Rattus norvegicus: one gene and its partner. The protein of the gene in region 1 interacts with the protein of each later gene in a pairwise test. Links are inferred from orthologs where the notes say so. Each region holds a gene or a part of one and is shown on either strand. Other genes may lie near its edges.

Region 1 (5,633 bases):
AGCGATGGCTACTGTATCATCTCAGCCATGGCTACTGTATCACTCAGCGATGGCTACTGTATCATCTCAGCCATGGCTACTGTATCATCTCAGCCATGGCTACTGTATCATCTCAGCGATGGCTACTGTATCATCTCAGCCATGGCTACTGTATCATCTCAGCCATGGCTACTGTATCATCTCAGCCATGGCTACTGTATCATCTCAGCCATGGCTACTGTATCATCTCAGCGATGGCTACTGTATCATCTCAGCCATGGCTACTGTATCACTCAGCGATGGCTACTGTATCATCTCAGCCATGGCTACTGTATCATCTCAGCCATGGCTACTGTATCATCTCAGCGATGGCTACTGTATCATCTCAGCCATGGCTACTGTATCATTCAGCGATGGCTACTGTATCATCTCAGCGATGGCTACTGTATCATCTCAGCCATGGCTACTGTATCATTCAGCGATGGCTACTGTATCATCTCAGCGATGGCTACTGTATCATCTCAGCCATGGCTACTGTATCATCTCAGCGATGGCTACTGTATCATCTCAGCCATGGCTACTGTATCATCTCAGCGATGGCTACTGTATCATCTCAGCCATGGCTACTGTATCATTCAGCGATGGCTACTGTATCATCTCAGCGATGGCTACTGTATCATCTCAGCCATGGCTACTGTATCATTCAGCGATGGCTACTGTATCATCTCAGCGATGGCTACTGTATCATCTCAGCCATGGAAGTATCATATTGCCGGAGGCTGAGTGAAAACATACCCACCCCCTAGTTAGTACCTCTGGAAGGGAGCATTCAGCTCTGCCTCTCACACTTCAGCTTGCCAGGATTTTTAGGATTTATTTTATGTCTATTTGTGTGCCAGTGTATGTAAGTGCCTGTAAAGACTGTCAAGGGGTGTCAGATACGGATGCTGAGCACAGAACAGCAAGCGCTCTTAACCTCTGAGCCATCAGAACAAGGTATGTTTCTGCAAATAATCTCTGACCTAAAGGTCCCTTTTTCCTGTTATGGACCTGGAAGAGACCACAGTGGGTCTTGGATGGCATCAGGGGGCCTGGTAAAAAGTACCTAGCCTCAGCTGGGTGGCAGCGGCACACAATTTTAATCCCAGCACTTGGAAGGCAGAAGCAAGACGATCTCTGAGTTCAAGGCCAGCCTGATCTACAGAGTGAGAATCAGGACAGCCAGGACTATGAAGACAAACTATGCCTCCAAGATAAAAAGAAAGAAAAAGAAAGAAAGAAAGAAAGAAAGAAAGAAAGAAAGAAAGAAAGAAAGAAAGAAAGAAAGAAAGAAAGAAAGAAAGAAAGAAGAAAGGAAGGAAGGAAGGAAGGAAGGAAGGAAGGAAGGAAGGAAGGAAGAAAGGAAGGAAAAGAAAGAAGGGGAGGGAGAGAGGGGTAAGGGGAGGGAAGTGGGGAGAGAAGAGTGTGTCTGTCCTGTGTGGTTACTCTTTCCACTTCTAGGACACTGGCATCCAATGTGAGATCTGAGCCTTCCTAATTGCTAGACTAGCGTTCTCCCACTGAGACACCTTTCCCCTACTCTTTCTGGTTTTGCTACATTATCCAGGCTGGCCTGGAATTCACTCTGAAGCCCAGAAAGAATTTTAACTTGGGATCTGTCTGCTTCAGCCTTCCAAGCAGCTGGGGCAACAGGCCCACTCTACAAGCCCTGACCTCTCCTCCAGGCCACTTGGGACTGCGGCCTTTACTCCCTTCCTCTTCCTGGTGTCTTCTTTCCCAGCTCTTCCTTTATTTGCTTCTCTATATTGCTTTCATTCTCTCTTTTCCTTACTTCGAAGGATGGGAAAGATGGGTGAGGTGGAAAGGAACACATCTTCTAACAGTAAGAGGGAGAAATTGAACAGTACACACTGGTTTTTGTCATTCCCTCACCAATGCCATCTGACAACCATTGACGTGGTAAATGTGTTACATTCGAAGTCATAAGTAACAGCTCTCTGAAGGCTGGATGGCAGAGGATGGCAGGTCTGCAAGACCAGCCTGAGGAGCATACGAAAATAAAGGAAAACCACCTGAACATATGCAGGAGGTTGTATATACATACGCTCTATGCTAATGTATATATGTATAGGTGTATGTGTACATGTAGGGTTTATATGTATATGCTAATGCTACAGTCACAAAGGACTCAGGCACCCAGACTGGGGTGTCTGAGGCCTCCCAGGTAGACAACAGACGCAGAGAGACAAGGGCACACCCATTCTGTAGCTGACCGCTCCAGGCTCAAGTTTTGGGTCAAAGATGATTGCTGTCTTAGGAGGTAATAAGAAACAAATGAAGAGAGAATGAAAAGAAAAGAGAATGCTCTATGGCGATCCCTTACATCGTCCTAGGGAGAGTGGATGCACTCTCTCCTACCCAAGTGAGAAGGATCTAAAGTCGCCATCAGCAACAACAAGCTAGAGTTACCAGTTACTGCTAGTGCCTCCGTAATTCTCAATAGCCTTCTCTGCAAGCTCTTCTGAGGCAGAAAAACTTCTTACCTGGGGCCTGCACATGTAAGAAGACCACTAGGCTAGCTGATACACGGCTTGTCTTCTTGGCAAGCCCTGGGCTCACTGGGAACTCCACCAGAGGTGGAGCACTTAGCAGCACTAAGTGAGATGCCATCCATCGCCTCTGGCCAGGGCAATGAATGAAGGGTGCAGAACCCCCCACCCCCTTGCACTTACCGCTTCTGGTTCATGGAAGCCACCTGCAGCCACTCGTTGGTGGTGGGATTGTAGGAGTGTGCGGCCGAGATCTCCTGGCTGGTGATCCTGTAACCACCCACGATGAAGAGGTAGTTGTCCAAGATGGCTGAGCCGTAGCCCCTGACGTTCACCAGGTCGGGGGGCAGGTTGTTGGCCAGGGGGAACCAGCGCTCTGTGGTCTCCTCATACCTAAGCATGGACGGGGGTTCCCCCTGATACGGGTGCGGAGCCAGGGGTCCCCCGAGGAAGTCCCCCAGGGCCACCAGGACCGGGGTCCCGCGCATGCGGGCCTCCCGCAACCTCTGCTTCAGGCTGCAGTCCCCGGGGGCCTGAGGCGGCGACAGCAGTAGCGGGAATTGCGGCTGGCACAGCACCTGGTGGAAGCGCAGCACCATGAAGCGCAGGCAGGCGTCCTGCAGGTCGGGCAGCCCGTACACCTGCGCCAGGCGGTACAGCTCCAGGCAGTTGCCCAGACGCACATGCGACAGCAGCAAGCGCAGCAGCGCCGTGACCTGCAGAAAGGACGCGGCCTCCACCATCTCGGCCAGCACGCTGGCCTCGGCCAACTCGTCCTCGCTCAGGCCCCAGCCCTCGCGCGCGCCGCCCGCGTTGATGAAGTCCAGCACCAGCCGCAGGCCCGGAGCGCTCAGGCCGCGCAGCTGCTGCACCTCCGGACCCACCTCGGGCCGCACGGCCTCGCGCATGCCGGAGCGGTAGAGAGCGCGGAAGTAGTCGCTCTGTTCGATCAATTTGCTCTTGCTCACCGGGTAGCAGCGGTCTTCCAGGCGGATCTGCACCATCTCCTCGGCCGACATGGCTGGGCCGCTGCGCCCGCCGCCCGGCTGCTCAGGCTCCTCCCCCGGGCGCACAGCCTCCGCGGAGCCCGGCCTGCGCTAGCGCTTCCTTCCTTCCGCCGCTCGGGGCCCTGGGCTCAGCCCCGCCGGTGCGTCACGCGCCCTCGAAGTAAACGGCCTCTCTGAGTCTATAATCCTTGTGTCTGTGTGGGTTCGTACGCGTGAATGCAGGTGCCGGGAAGCCGAAGGCGGCAGATCACCTTGCAGCCTGAGGTAAAGACGGTTGTAAGCTGCCCTACGCGGAAGCCGAGTCCTCCTGTCCTCCGCAGCAGCAGTATGCACTCTTAACCACTGTCAAGCAATGTTAGGATACAAACAAACGTGTCGGTTCGCGGTGCTCTCCCCCTGCGCAAAAGTCATTGTACTTGATCTTCTGGTGTTTCCCGCAGCCCCACAGTCCCTGCCTGTGTGAGTTTTCCTAGGCCAGTCAGTACTGAGAGATTTTGCACCTGCAGTGTGATTCAAAGGTGCAATAACGGATTTCTGGGGCTAACGAATTTGTTAGAAGAGTTATCAACTCCATGGACAGGACAGACAGTCTTGCAGTGACTACCGGTCCTGCAGACAGACAGGAAGGCAGGCAGTGGCTTGGAGGGGGCTCCAGAGAGAGTTCAGACCCCAGCACCAGAGATGGCAGCAAAAGGGGCAAGTGGATGGAGATGATTGTCCCCTCTGGGTAGCACTTTCCCATTCTCATCCCAACCTACCCCCATCCCTGCCATAGCTGTTGGGAAAGGACATTTTTCCTGTGTTCCTTTGCGGGACACTTGGTTGGAAGGCTGGATTCCAAGGTCTGTAGTGAAGCATGGTGTCTGCCCCATGATGTCCCAGCTTGCATTCCTCAGTATTACTATATCTGTCGGCTGCTTCACCAAGAGGGGGCTGTAAGTCATTATAGTCTGCAGAATACACGCAAGGGTAAGGAGCTACGAAGTACAGAGAACATCCTATCAGGATTCTGCCTTCCTATGGGAAAGAGACACAACACACGGACCTGGGGTTTGCTATACTTCGTTACTTTCTTGGACACTCTGAAAAACTCAGGACACTAACTGCCCTGTGATTGACAGGCCTGGAATCGTTCTTGGCAGGTTTCTGTTCCCCATCCGTCACTCTTGGTGTTTGGGGTATGAGGAGGGTTTCAGGTGAGAGGCAAGGATCTAGTAGACTACAGCAAGGCAACGTGCCACGGCTACCATTAGACATTGGTCTGGGGGCTTCTGGGAAGGCCGACTTCAAAGAGGCTGGACCAGGCTCTGTCTGAGCCTCCATCAGCAACAAGGCAGGATTCAGTGAGTCACCAGAAGAACAGGCTCTTAGTCTCTGGCTCTTTAGAATCTTTACCAATGGAAGTTTTGTTTGCAGACCAGAGACACGCCTTCAACTGGTATTCTCTTGCCTTTTAAAACAAACCAGAAAGCCAACCTTTGAGAATGATTCTCATTAGAGAGGCAATTCAACCAGGGTCACATTACCACAGTGAGGTCAGCTGGACTGGAATCTGAAGTGTTACCTGACAACACTGGGCACTGGTCCTGCAAGGTTTTGACACCTGACAATATAGTGGGGCGTCTTAAAAGATCCAATGATCTTAGTAAGCCACACAGTGTTCTAGAAAGCTGGGCATAAAGACAAACACATATAAACTCCTTTGTTACAAAGTAGCGAACTATAGTTTCAAGGCTTCGTGAATGCATTGCTCAGTGTCATCATATTGAGTACATGGAGCTGTCATTGGTCATTAGACACTGACAATTTGTGCTCAAAGGCCTACAGCCTGGGAGGTCATAGCCCTAGGAGAGCGCACCACTGTTGCTTTGCTAAATGAATATGTTGTCAAGTTACTTCCTGAATACTTGTGCTCATATCCACAGATCAGTGCTGCCTTGGCCCAAGAAGTCTCTGTCTCTGGTGAGCAGAGAGCTCATCAAAGTGCTGGGAACATGTGACTAACAGCCCTAATCAGACTTCTGCAGCAACCCCTCCCCACAAGCTCAAGAACAACATGAAAAAAAAGGGGCTAAAAGCACGTAAGGGTGGGGGGGTA
Region 2 (5,617 bases), on another chromosome or scaffold:
TATTTATTTATTTATTTATTTATTTTTATTCATTTATTATATATAAGTACACTGTAGCTGTCTTCAGACACACCAGAAGAGGGCATCGGGTCTCCTTACAGATGGTTGTGAGCCATCATGTGGTTGCTGGGAATTGAACTCAGGACCTCTGGAAGAGCAGTCAGTGCTCTTAACCGCTGAGCCATCTCTCCAGCCCCTATTTTTTGTTTTTTAAGACAGGGTTTCTTTGTGCAGTCCTGGCTGTCCTACAGTTCATTCTGGAGACCAGGCTGTAGTCTTGCCTGTAGTTCCACCTACCTCTGCCTCCTAGGTGCCTGGTACCCACAAAAGCCAGAATATGGCATCTGACTCCCTAGAACTGGAATATAGATTGTTGTTGAACTACTGTGTGGGTGCTGGGAATCAAACCCATGTCTTCTGGAAGAGCAGACAGTGCTCTTAACAGATGACTCACCTCTCCAGCTTCACAGACTAGCTCCTTGGTTTGTTCGTTTGTTTGCTTGTTTGTTTTTCAAGACAGGGTTTCTTCATGGAGCCCTGGGGACAGACCTTAGCTTGTCACTCAGCAGCACCAGTGCCTTTAACCACAGCCCAGCTGAGGAGTGCCATCTCCTCAGCCCAACATTCTACTGTTTGTGTTTGTGCTTGCTTGTCTGTTTATGTACTATGTGTATCAGGTGCCTGAGAAAGCCAGCATAGGGTGTTGGATCTCCTAAAACTATAGTCACAGGCAGTTGTGAGCCGCCATGTGGGTGCCGAACTGAACCTGAACCAGGAACTGAGCCAGGTCCTGTGCACTCTTAGCCACTGAGCCACCTCTCCAGCCCCTGATATCCTAACCTTAGTAAATCATCCGGCCATTTTATTTCATTTTATTTTTTCAGTGCTGCAATTGAGCTCCGGTGCTTAACATGCTGGGATGTTAGGCGAGAACTCTTTCACTAAACTGTACCTCTCCAGCCGTGTTTTAAGACTAGCTGAAGGCCCACTGTGGAGCTCAGGCGTTTAATCCCAGTTCTCATGAGGCAGAGGTTTGTGAATCTCTGAGTTAGAAGCCAGCCTGGTCTATAGATCGAGTTACAGAACAGCCATGGCTGTTATCCAGAAAAACCCTGTCACACGAAACGAAAACCCCAAACTAAAACATACAAAAACATACATATACACAAAAACTAAACTAAAAGCAAACTAACCACCCAACAACCAAACAACCAAAAAGACTATTAGGCGTGGCATAAGCCTGTGGTTCCAGTCACTTGAGAGGCTGTTCTGTTTTCCAGGCTAACTTGGGCAACTTAGTGAAACTGTCACAAAAACTAAAGTAACGAAAGTTCGTCGTTTTCTTTCTTTCTTTTTTAAAGACAGGATCTCACTCTGAAGTCCAGGCTGGCTTCAAACTCAAAGCAATCCCCCTGCTTTAAGTCTTTCCATGCTGGTGTTATGGGTGTGAACAACCACGCCCCGCAGGAAATTATTTTCAGGGACTTAAACTGCTGCCCAAAGTCACACAGCTACTCCGGAACTGATGCCCAGGACGTGACCCTGGTGTCATTCCGTCCCCACCTTACTCCCATCTTTAATAGTAGCAGAATCCAGCTGTCCCACTGTAGATTGAGTCCGGTATCGTAAATCCTACTGAGAAAACTGTTAATTTTGTAACTCTCAAGAGGCAGGTCCTCTTCCAGAAGTCATACAGTATTCTAAAATCACCATGAAGTGACAGGCCTGTACTTTAAAAAGGCCCAAACCCCTACCTGTCACCGCCCCACAAGGGAAATCGCTACCAGAGTTTGTCCCTTCGCTCAGGCAGTCCTCCTGGGCATGCGCTTTAGAGACAGGCTCCCCCCTCCTTCTGGAACGTCCCCGATCAGGCTCCGCCCACCACCACCAACGAGAGCGGATCCCGGAGCTGGAGGGCGGGGCTGCCACGCGAGTGGGCGGGAACTAGGGATTGTCGAGTGTCTGGAGTCGTGCGCCCGAATCAGAACTGCGCCTGCCGTCCCAGGTGTCGGTTGCTGGAGCCCAGCGAGCTAGCGATGCTACGGCAGCCGCTTCCTGATTGGCTGCGTGTGGCTCCCTCTTCGTTCTGATTGGTCGGGAGTGATCTGGGTATGTAAATGAAGGGGCCTGGTAGGGAAAGACGAGGGTACGGGCGACCGGGATATTTAGCGTGTTCGATACCTCAGTTAGGTAGATGTTCGCCAGAGCTGTTCGAGATCGAGGGCCAGGGCCTGTATGTGTCGCCCGGCCCGGCCGGGCTGGGTGAATCACGTCGGAGCCCGAGAAGGGGGCGGAGGCGCCGGCTCCCTGGCTCCGGCTGCGTGACTCATCCGCCCCCGCCGCCGCCGCTTCGGGAGGAGCCGCCTCCACTGCCTTCCGGAAGCGAGGGGAGGCCGGGCTAGCTGAGCGACCCGCGGGGGTCGCGGCTTGCTATACCCGGGAGAGACAGGCAGGACCCCGGAGAATCTAAAGGATCCCGGGGTCAGAGGGGCCGGAGTCCCGGGGGACCCAGGTCGGAGTACCGCTAGGGGGCGCCGGGACTCGAGGGGCGGAGTCGGGGTGGGGGCTGAATTCCTGCGGTTCCCGGCTCCCGGGTCTTCAGCGAAAAGGGCAAAGACTCGGTTTTTACTGTCTTGCCAGATCTAGGCTAGTGTCCCCGGGACTGAGACCCTGCAGTCTTTATGCCCCCGTTAGATAGGGCTAGGGGTTCCAAACTCTAGACCTCTCACCTTGGAAGAAAGTACGGATTTTCAAACTTCTGTCAATGACTTAACTCCTGCGGCCCTTCAGGGTTTCCCTTGTCGGTTCTTTTTCCTCAATAAGTTCGGGATCCACCGCTTCCTTGAATGATTGCTAACATCTTAGGGTTTACATTCAAGCGGTCAGCACCCCAACAAGTGCTGCAGCCTCGGAAGGCAGGCAATTTGGGCCCACTTCTATCCCCAAACCTTCATACACACACACACCCGATGCTGCCCCACCACCAATCTTGCCCTAGGCAACAGCTACCCGGGATCCTCTAGAGACATTGCCAACTAATGTCACCACTCATCTTCCTGCCTCGACCCTACCCTCCATGACTCTGTCCTGACACTCTGAAAATCCAAGCCTCCTCCTACTCCTGCTCGCGCCTCCTTCTGCCTGCTCCCCACCCCCACCGGGACTCCTACTGTGTCACTCTGCGCCTGCTCCTAGTGTGTGGTTTGTTTTTTTTTTTTTTTTTTTTCCTTCCCAGTTCAGGTTTACCTCTCTCAGTCTTCCTTTGGCCCTCTCAGGAAAACCTGGCCCAGGTTCTCCATAGCCTACACAGCATACATCAGGGTTCATCTTCAATGTATCTTTCTTAGAAAGACCTGCCTTGACTACCTCCAAGATGGCATCTTCCTACCAGTTTCTGTACATTTGATTATTTAATGGCCCATGCATATAGCAGATACTCTGTGTGTTGATGACTGCATTTGCAATCAAGGAGTGGCACACACACTATCCTAACCCTTGTGAGACGGAGACAGGAGGATTGCCTGGAATGGCTGGCCAGCCTGGACTACAGTTGTGAGGCTCTGTCTCAAAAGAATAAAACCCAAAAGTGCTTATAAATAAGTACTAATTATGTGGGCTTAGAGCTTGCTATTCCTACAAAGGACCTGAGTTCAGTTCCCAGTTCCCACATCAGATGGCTTGCAATTACTTTAAAACCAGTTCCAGGGACTCCTGGCAGCTGACCTCTTTGGGCATCTGCACTTTCATGCACACACACAAACACAAAATTTAAAATAAAAGTAAAATTTCAAGTACTAATGACTACGTTTTTGTTCTTTGAATCTAATCTGTGTTAGCAACTTCTAGCATAGATGCTATCTGTATCTTAGGAGTTCACCGAGGGGGCTGAGGATATAGCTCAGTTGGTAGAATGTTTGTTTTACATGCAAGAAGCCCAGAGTTCCATCCCTAGCATCAAATATACCAAGGATGGTGGCACACACCTTTAATTCCAGCACTGGAGAGATGGAGAAGGGAAAAGCAGACGTTGGCTTACCTGGCAAGTTCAAAGCCAGCCTGAGTTCCATGAGACCCTATCTCATTAGAAATAAATATGCTTAGGAAACCTAGCCCTCGGAGGTCAATTGACTGGTCAGGATCACACTGACAGCAGTTGTGAGAGCTGCGTATTGGCTTTCCATAACCGAATGACTCCTTCCTCCCTGCAGAGGATGCTGAGCAAAGGTCTGAAGCGCAAGCGGGAGGAGGAAGAAACAATGGAGTCCCTCTCAGTGGACTCGTGGTGGTTGGATCAAAGCCGCCCAGCAGTGGCACAGACCCCAGCAACCGTGGCTTCTAGCTCTCTCTTTGACCTCTCGGTGGTCAAGCTCCACCACAGCCTTCGGCAGAGCGAACCAGACCTCCGACACCTGGTGCTTGTGGTGAACACACTGAGACGAATTCAGGCGTCCATGGAGCCTACGACCGTCCTGCCACCTGAGCCCATTCAGCCCACAGCCCCCTCTGTGGCAGATAACTTTCTGTCTAGCTCAGACGCCGGCCTCTCAGCCTCCATGGCCAGCCTCCTGGAAGATCTCAGTCATATTGAGGACCTGAACCAGGTCCCCCAACCCCAAGCAGACGAGGGGCCTCCAGGCCGCTCTGTCGGGGGTGTCCTGCCCAACCTGGGTGCCTTGGACTTGCTAGGCCCAGCCACGGGCTGTCTGTTGGACGATGGACTGGAGGGTTTGTTTGAGGACATTGATACCTCCATGTATGACAGTGAACTTTGGTTACCAGCCTCTGAGGGTCTCAAACCTGTCCCTGAGAATGGCCCAGCCAAGGAGGAAACTCCAGAGTTGGATGAGGCTGAGCTGGACTACCTCATGGATGTACTAGTAGGCACACAGGCACTGGAACGGCCACCAGGACCTGGGCGCTGACCCTTAGACCCAGGGATGATTGACTTGGATCTGAGTTGAGCCTGGTGGTTACACCAATCCACTTTGACGTGACACAGATGGCTTCCCCTCACAGAGGAGACCCAGGGTCACTTTGGAGAGACAGTGCTGAGTCCTGGAAACTTCACATCCATCCACCTGTCTTGGCCAGTGAGGGAGTTAGAAATAAGCTCCCAGTGGTGAAATGACGGGACCCAGAGACAGCAATGGTGTTTGGGCTAGGCTGGGGGTTGGACTGGGATAATAGTCTGGGCTATCCCATCCTATTATCCCCAGTGTGGGAAGAGACCTCATAATTTTTGGAAATTAAAACCAGCTTTGGGAAATACCAAGTCTGTGTGCTTCTTTACATCTGTGCCGATCAGGGATGAAATAACATCAAACTTGTAATCCCGTGACATTCCCACGGTTATAGTAGAATAAAACGCACTCCCGGTATATATCTTTGAGCAAAGGGCAGGAGCTTTCAAGAGGTCTCCCAAAATAAAACCACTAAGTTTAGTGGAGAGAAAACAGGACCTTAAGGGCCAGGCAGCTGGCTTTCCACGTAGAAGCTCTCCAGGTCCGGGCAAGCCGGGGCCACCTGCCTGCCTGAGCGCATTGGGCCTGGCCGGAGCCGGGTGTCTGCGGCCGCCCCCGCGGTCCAGCTGCATTCCTGGCCCGACTGGGAGGGGCCG

What was found.
Region 2: the proteins of Klhl42 (region 1) and Sertad1 interact in binary tests that used the Homo sapiens proteins (3 or more experiments, as listed by UniProt). The two-hybrid records come from large-scale screens. The link is inferred for Rattus norvegicus from reciprocal best matches to the Homo sapiens genes KLHL42 and SERTAD1.

What each region holds. Positions count from the first base shown.
Region 1 is NC_086022.1:181,733,191-181,738,823, reverse strand, and holds the start of Klhl42 (kelch-like protein 42), read right to left. Parts: upstream 3,593-5,633; 5' UTR 3,548-3,592; coding exon 2,712-3,547; intron 1-2,711. UniProt on the Homo sapiens protein: Substrate-specific adapter of a BCR (BTB-CUL3-RBX1) E3 ubiquitin-protein ligase complex required for mitotic progression and cytokinesis. The BCR(KLHL42) E3 ubiquitin ligase complex mediates the ubiquitination and subsequent degradation of KATNA1.
Region 2 is NC_086019.1:91,901,300-91,906,916, forward strand, and holds Sertad1 (SERTA domain-containing protein 1), read left to right. Parts: upstream 1-1,997; 5' UTR 1,998-2,109; intron 2,110-4,208; 5' UTR 4,209-4,211; coding exon 4,212-4,922; 3' UTR 4,923-5,266; downstream 5,267-5,617. UniProt on the Homo sapiens protein: Acts at E2F-responsive promoters as coregulator to integrate signals provided by PHD- and/or bromodomain-containing transcription factors. Stimulates E2F1/TFDP1 transcriptional activity.